Drosophila melanogaster: one gene and its partner. The protein of the gene in region 1 purifies or fractionates together with the protein of each later gene. This does not show direct contact. Each region holds a gene or a part of one and is shown on either strand. Other genes may lie near its edges. The genes, in order: Usp2 and Rpt6.

Region 1 (3,924 bases):
ATTTTAGAAGGCCCTATTTATCAAATTAATTCGAATTCAAAACCTCATACTAATCGGACCATAATATTCTAACTTCTTTATCAAAAATATACCCAAAAGATTGGAAAATGCCCAGTGTAAATGATCTAATGAGGGAACATCTTTTAATCAAAACCACATTTTTATGACGGTACTTTTAGTAGTGCAAACAATTCTAAATTGTCAAGACCTTGTCCGTTTACATTTGATTCACTTATTGGAGAAATGAAGGCTTGCAGGCGCAAGGTTATCTTGAATTCTGCATAAGATAATGCGAAACCCTTCAAGCGGAACTCCTCGTCTTTCTTCCCCTTCCCACGATTGATTTTTCACAAGCGCAAAAAACACCCACGCACATCTCGGGAATTTGTGGCCTTCGATTTGTCCCTGATGAACAGTTAGGCGGAGAGTGGAAAACCGATCGACACTTGTTTACAATCGCAAAATAGTAATAAATAGAGAAAAGCCGTTTTCAAGTTTGCCATAACAACAACTTCAGTGTGACGCTGGCTGGCTGAACTGGGTAGGGGCGGTGTGGGACGCGGACGGCTGTCCTTATGCGGTAACACTTAAAATGAAGTTACGTTCGTGTGTGTGCCGCCAGGCTGTCTACGCTCCCATTCGAGAAAACCGTTGCTTTTACATACATACATGCACAAGTGTAAGGCTCTGCGGGTGGTGTAGTGCAGGGGGATGGGAGAAGCGGGTGGTAGGCCTTAACTAACATAAGATGGCCACACTTTCACGAATCGATCTTTCGTTCATAAAATGCTACAACTACACTACAGCCCATTCACACACATTCACTTAAAAAAATTGAATTATCCAAGCTCACACAATCGCACGCGAGTACCCACAGGTGTAGCTGAACTTTTTCAACGGTTACCACGATTAGCCGCTTTCTTTAGACACAAAACTCATACATTCTTTGCACGTCAAAATCGAAATAATTGTGATAAAAGCAAAAACAATATATAAAACGAAACGAAATGAGATTCTATTTTTAAAAGGTGCACTCACACACGCGCGTACGTTTGGCAGTGAAATGTGTGAGGGAGAGGGGGCGAGCCAGGGTAGTAGTAAAACAGTGCCGAGATTGTGCGCGCGAGCGATGTAGCACTATTGGCTACACGGTCACACACACACACACAGGCGCCAGGCAGCGTACGAATTACGCAAAGTGAAATATCTTTCTCAAAATGGAAAGTGGAAAAGTGACGACGACGGCTATTAGGAATTTTTCATACATCCACGGAACACAAAAAATGTACAAAGGCAAATGCGTATATAAAGTGTATAAATTCATACTAAGATAGAAAACAAATGGGCGAGGGGATGGGTGGCGAAGGTGAAAATTTGACCGCAAAACGAACATCACGAGGCGAACGAGGTCGCGCTGCCGAAAGTCCCGTCTCTTAATGATATCCCACAAATTTTAACGCCAGCCAAGCGACATCATCGTTTTGCACCGCAAAAGGGCCTTTTTCCGGTCGAATTAAAGCAATTTTTTTTTGCACAACACAGAACTCACTTTTTAATCCTATTTTTTTTGCTAGTGTGGCCGCACGCCGAAACGAAGTCACCGTCACTAGATTTTGAAGATAGGTTAACTGTTCTTCGATAACTATCGAAGAACTATGCCTGATGCATGTATGGTTGGTGTACTTGCTAACAGATGAGCAGAGGCCTTCTTAATGTTCCATTTACACAGAATTCCATCATATGGGATTTGAAAAATATGCTTCAAACTTAATAGTTTTTGCACAAAACGCCAATCGAATTATATTTCCAGTTCCAGGGAAAAGATTTCTGGGTGGAAATAAACACACAACTTTCAATTCTTAATTAGACTAAAGTCAAGCCTAGAATATTATATATTACAGTTCAATATAATTTAATACAGAATTTTGTTTTAAATAAATAGTATTTTGTTTATCTGGTATATAACAATGATTTTGCACAAGGTATTTCTTATAGCTATCTGCGCGGTCACACTGTTTTTGTGTGAAAATTCTGTCGAAAAGAATGTATTAAAAGTTCTTTGAATACTAATTCCGTGTAATTCCGACCGTGCTGTTTCAGAAAACTGTGGTTGGATTGGAAACTTAACCAAATTATAAGGTAAAACCGGGGCAGCTTGCCCATCGAAGGACCGCCACAAACGAATTTTCGCGTCGCATTACGTTTTAGTGTTGCCACCTTATACGGAGTGCCGGGCACAATTCCACTTGCTGGCCAAACGGATGCGTTGCGGTCGCGATGTGCACGCCGTTGAATTAATTCCTTCGCCCTGTTGATTGAGTACAGTTCGACTTCTCCGATCGGTGTCCTCCAGACCTAAATTTCGCCGGAATAACGACGGCAAACGGACGGACGGACTCTAGTCGGAAAACGGGCGAGCTGGCAATACTGCCAGTGCACAAAATGATGTGAATCTCGGAAAAGAGGAAAGCTACAGGAAAAGCCAAGGAAAAGCAAGCCGGTAAAGTGTGCAAATGCGAGTGGCAAGCAAAGACCTTTGTTTCCCATTCCATGAAGTTTTCTTGAGTTGTCCGCTGCTGTGAGTGGTCATTATCAGCCATCATCATCATTGTCGTCATCATCACCAAAGGAGCTCGTCGTCATTAGGCCGGCCACCAGCTAAACGGCATTGAGAAAACTCAGCAGCACCTTGTCATCCAAGTCTTGATCTTCGTCTTGGTCTGGATATCCGTATCCAATCACACAGTTCAGGTGGGTTCTTGATCCAGACTCCGAATTCGAATACGAGTCCTAGATTCTCATGCTGATCCTTTTCCATATCTACAGTTATGTCCTCGACCGCCGGAAAGCGCAAGGAGATCTACAAATATCTCGCGCCATGGCCACTGTACTCCATGAACTGGAGTGTAAGGCCGGACAAGCGATTCCGGCTCGCACTGGGCAGCTTCATCGAGGAGTACAACAACAAGGTACAGATCATCAGCCTGGACGAGGACACCAGCGAATTTAGTGCTAAGAGGTATACCGAATATTTGTTTAGCTGATCCCTTCTACTTTCTGTTTTCATTTTATATTTCGTATATTATCTTTAAAAAATAATATAAAATGATAAGCAGTTTTGATATTATTGTAATCATTTTAAATATGAATAGTTATTTGGTTATACGAACCATTTTTCCGAAATCCCCTTCCTCACTGACAGATTATTTCTTCTTCAAATAGCACCTTTGATCATCCATATCCGACAACCAAGATCATGTGGATCCCGGACTCCAAGGGTGTCTATCCGGATCTGTTGGCCACCAGTGGCGACTACTTGCGGGTGTGGCGTGCCGGGGAACCGGACACGCGGCTCGAGTGCGTACTGAATAACAACAAGAACAGCGACTTTTGCGCTCCCCTCACTTCGTTTGATTGGAACGAGGTGGATCCCAATCTGGTGGGAACCTCATCGATAGACACAACCTGCACTATCTGGGGACTGGAGACCGGACAGCCGCACGCTCGCGTCTATGTGGCAGGACACGTGAAGACGCAATTGATTGCCCATGACAAGGAAGTATACGACATTGCTTTTTCGCGGGCCGGCGGCGGTCGGGACATGTTTGCCTCGGTGGGAGCGGACGGGTCGGTGCGCATGTTTGATCTGCGGCACTTGGAGCACTCGACCATTATATATGAGGTAAGTAGAACGCGCGAAAACACAAAAACGGATGACTACATAACGATAAATCCAATAGGATCCTGCTCATACGGCGCTGCTGCGCTTGGCCTGGAACAAACAGGACCCGAACTACTTAGCCACCGTTGCCATGGACTCGTGCGAAGTAATAATTTTAGATGTTCGTGTTCCTTGTACACCCGTTGCAAGACTGAGCAATCACAGAGCGTGCGTCAACGGTATTGCGTGGGCGCCGCATAGGT
Region 2 (3,924 bases), 1.1 Mb from region 1:
TTAAATTGAGCAGGTATGGTCAAGTGGCAAAAACTCACCAACAACATGATGGTATATATGACACCTAAAATGCACATTCTGAGAAAAAGCACCAAAAACTTAATGCCCCACTGCATGCCAAAGGAGTAGCCGTAGTGCCACTGATGCACCATCACCCCATCCTCCACCTGGGCAGCGACGTTCTGAGAATTGGGCCAGAAAGCGTCCTTATATCTCATGTTGGTTAGGTGGTGTAGATGGTGTACTTACTCTGATGATATTCAAAAAGGGCAGTAGGTATATAAAATTATAAAGGAATGTGGGCAGCTGGGCGACACTCATCACGGAGCACGGCTCGTCGGCGGCCTTCAGCAGGATGTTGTAGACCTCGACATTGGGTTCTGGATAGGTGCTAACTATGTCCTTGCGCAATTGGTGGTACCATTCCACAAAGATCTGGTGCTGCAGCTGCAGAAACCCCTCGCGAATATATATATCCTGCTGCTTATCGTGCTTGGCCCGATCCCGTCCGGGATTAATGCGACCCGAACAGCGGGTTATCCACAGGCGATCCTCGGTGAGGAACGGAGCGATCGTGCGGAACTCGCTGGGAAACCGAATCGAGATGGACAGAGTCAAAGGAGTGCCGTCATCGCGCAGATCATTGAAAACAATGCCCGCCAGGGTAGTCCGCTCATCGAACTGATTTTGCATTTCGGACTCGCTCTCGTAGCCCACGGTTGAGCTCAGTTCCAGCGTTTTGGCCACATTCTTGGTCACCTCCGATGTAAACGTCGTTTCCGGCGTGAAGGCCAGGATGTACTTGGTTTTCTCCCGCTTCGAGTCTGCCATGCGTCTGCGGAAGGTAACAAAACCATATAAATAGGTAGGAGCATTAAGTTGCGCCTTTGGATGGCGCTACATTCAAAAGGTTGTAGGTGAATACTATGCACTTACGTCAATATATTTATGTCCTGCAGTTTGTGGGACACGATGCTCTGCTCGTTTTCGTTCTCGGTGGTCGTGTATAGAAGCCTTTTGGAGTGAGCGATGGGGTTGAGAAAGATCACTAGGACCATTATCACTAGGGCGACGATCTCGAAGAGCGTCCGCCGCCACAGATTTAACTCGATGCGGATGTAGCGCTTGAAAAGAAGACCCTTGCTGGCCGGCATTTTACAATTTAAAATATAAATTTAACAAACGACAGAAATTGGTTGGCGGGTCTGCACTCCCGCACAAAACGGATGGTTTGAGTGTGAGAAGTTTGATTTTCGGCAGGGGATTTTGAAAATATTCTTATTTTGCCTTAAAACATACCAGTACTTTGTTCTCAAAGCACATTTTGATGACTATTTCAGACTACGCATTTACATGCCCAATGTTTTGAAATTTTCATAGATAATATTGAACACCTTCAAGCTTAGAATTTGTCACATTAAGTATTCACAATTAATTAGAAATACATTACATTTTTTTCATTAGCAGCGGTATTAGGCTAATTCAAGTTCATTACTTAAAAATCGCTGGTGCTACGCAAAAACAAGAGAGAACACAATGTATTTTACCACGAATCAGAGAGAAACCTATAGTCGAGTTCCCCGACTATCAGATAACCGTTACTCAGAGAAATATCATCATTTTTCTGTCTAGAAATTGGTAAATAAATTGAAAAAATGTATCGGTTTTGGCATGTCGAAAGAAATTTACAAGACTAATATAAAAATAAAATATTAAGACATTTTTTAAAAAAGTGGGCGTGGCAGTTTTGGGTGGTTTGGGTCAACAAACTAGCGCTGTCTCCAGAATCTGTATGCTTAATCTCAACCTTCTAGCTTTTAAACTTCCTAAGATCTTGAAGTTTATGCGGACGGACAGACGAACAGGGCCAAATCGACTCGGCTATTGATCCTGATCAAGAATATATAAACTTTATATGGTCGGACACGCTTCCTTCTACCTGTTACATACTTTTCAACGTATCTAGTACACTCCATTTACTCTACGACGGGTATAATCCTACGAGTAAGGTCGTGTTTTGTTATATTTAATTTTAATTGTTTACTGGACACATTTAATTCGAAAACCTTAGCTAGGTTTTTTACCACCTAGCGTTTTTATCGATGCCGATTGCTCGATGGCATCGATATTCCGAATGCAGTGCGATAACCGGCATGTGTCATCTCGAAAAGCAAATGCAGAGTCATACAATAAAGAGGAATTAATTCGACATCTTGCATTGTGGTCCTTCAGTTCGACAAATAATAACAAATTAAAGTGTAAACAGAAAACGAAAGATGACGGTGACGAATCGGGTATGTACATTTGATTCCCCCAGCTCTTCCACCGCGAAAAACCAATGCTCCATGTTTTCGCAGATGGAAATCGAGTCGGCCTACCATAAAGGCGAGGGATTCCGGTCCTACTACATCCAAAAGATCGAGGAACTGCAGCTGGTGGTGGCCGAGAAGCACCAGAATTTGAGACGACTGCAGGCCCAGCGCAATGAGCTCAATGCTAAAGGTAAATTTACTGTTACACATATGTAGATAATGTGCATAGTTGGTTAGCTGTAGGATATAGAAAACATATAAGACTTGTTCTTGGTCTTAATATCAAAAAATCTTTAAATTTGAGAAAGCAATCCTAATTAGCACGTCTTTTGCAGTTCGGATGCTGCGGGAGGAGCTGCAGCTGCTCCAGGAACAGGGTAGCTATGTGGGCGAGGTTGTGAAGCCCATGGACAAGAAGAAAGTGCTGGTCAAGGTGCATCCCGAGGGCAAGTTCGTCGTCGATCTGGACAAAAACATAGATATCAACGACGTAACCCCCAATTGCCGCGTGGCCCTGCGCAATGAGAGCTATACGCTGCACAAGATTCTGCCCAATAAGGTGGATCCGCTGGTCTCGCTTATGATGGTTGAAAAAGTTCCTGACTCCACATACGAAATGGTTGGCGGCCTGGACAAACAGATTAAAGAGATCAAGGAGGTGATTGAGTTGCCCGTAAAGCATCCAGAGCTGTTTGATGCCTTGGGTATTGCCCAGCCGAAGGGAGTGCTCCTTTATGGACCTCCAGGTACAGGAAAGACTTTGCTGGCCAGGGCCGTTGCCCATCACACCGAGTGCACCTTCATTCGCGTCTCTGGCTCAGAGCTGGTCCAGAAATTCATCGGCGAGGGTTCGCGCATGGTTCGAGAACTCTTTGTAATGGCCCGGGAACATGCACCATCAATTATTTTCATGGACGAAATCGATTCCATTGGCTCGTCGCGTATTGAGTCAGGTTCCGGCGGCGATTCCGAGGTGCAGCGTACTATGCTGGAGCTACTTAACCAGCTGGACGGCTTTGAGGCCACCAAGAACATCAAGGTGATCATGGCCACCAATCGCATTGACATCCTGGATCCCGCTCTGCTGCGTCCCGGCCGTATTGATCGCAAGATCGAGTTCCCGCCACCAAACGAGGAGGCGCGTCTGGACATCTTGAAGATCCACTCCCGTAAGATGAACCTCACGCGTGGCATTAATCTGCGCAAGATCGCCGAGCTAATGCCAGGCGCATCAGGTGCGGAAGTCAAGGGCGTCTGCACGGAGGCCGGCATGTATGCGCTGCGCGAACGACGCGTCCATGTCACCCAGGAGGACTTCGAGATGGCTGTGGCCAAGGTGATGCAGAAGGACTCGGAGAAGAACATGTCTATCAAGAAGCTGTGGAAGTAGGCGTTGATCGGCCATTGCAAAAGAACCCTTATATTATTTTCAATAAATACATCAGTTAGTAACATAAATGCATTATTGTGTCATTGGATTTACTCCTTAGTCAGTACGCACAACCCAATTATGATCTTCACAGATAACTTTCGTTCAATGATATCTGAAGAATTGAATAGATTATCAGATTACAGTAGCAGCTTTGTAAAAAGTACATTGCAGTGTTTTCAA

Evidence for each region.
Region 2: the proteins of Usp2 (region 1) and Rpt6 purify together in Drosophila melanogaster (affinity purification with western blotting; one study listed by BioGRID). This does not show direct contact.

What each region holds. Positions count from the first base shown.
Region 1 is NC_004354.4:22,453,489-22,457,412, reverse strand, and holds the start of Usp2 (ubiquitin specific protease 2), read right to left. Parts: upstream 1,611-3,924; 5' UTR 1,550-1,610; intron 968-1,549; exon of another isoform or gene 854-967; intron 523-853; exon of another isoform or gene 222-522; intron 1-221. Other genes in the region: wap (wings apart), read left to right, coding at 2,829-3,019, 3,223-3,682, 3,741-3,922. UniProt on the Drosophila melanogaster protein: Hydrolase that deubiquitinates polyubiquitinated target proteins. Required for preventing the activation of the Toll signaling cascades under unchallenged conditions. Essential for bodily calcium homeostasis.
Region 2 is NC_004354.4:21,313,902-21,317,825, forward strand, and holds Rpt6 (regulatory particle triple-A ATPase 6), read left to right. Parts: upstream 1-2,150; 5' UTR 2,151-2,276; coding exon 2,277-2,294; intron 2,295-2,357; coding exon 2,358-2,502; intron 2,503-2,647; coding exon 2,648-3,702; 3' UTR 3,703-3,762; downstream 3,763-3,924. Other genes in the region: CG1801 (uncharacterized protein), read right to left, coding at 39-182, 250-835, 937-1,154.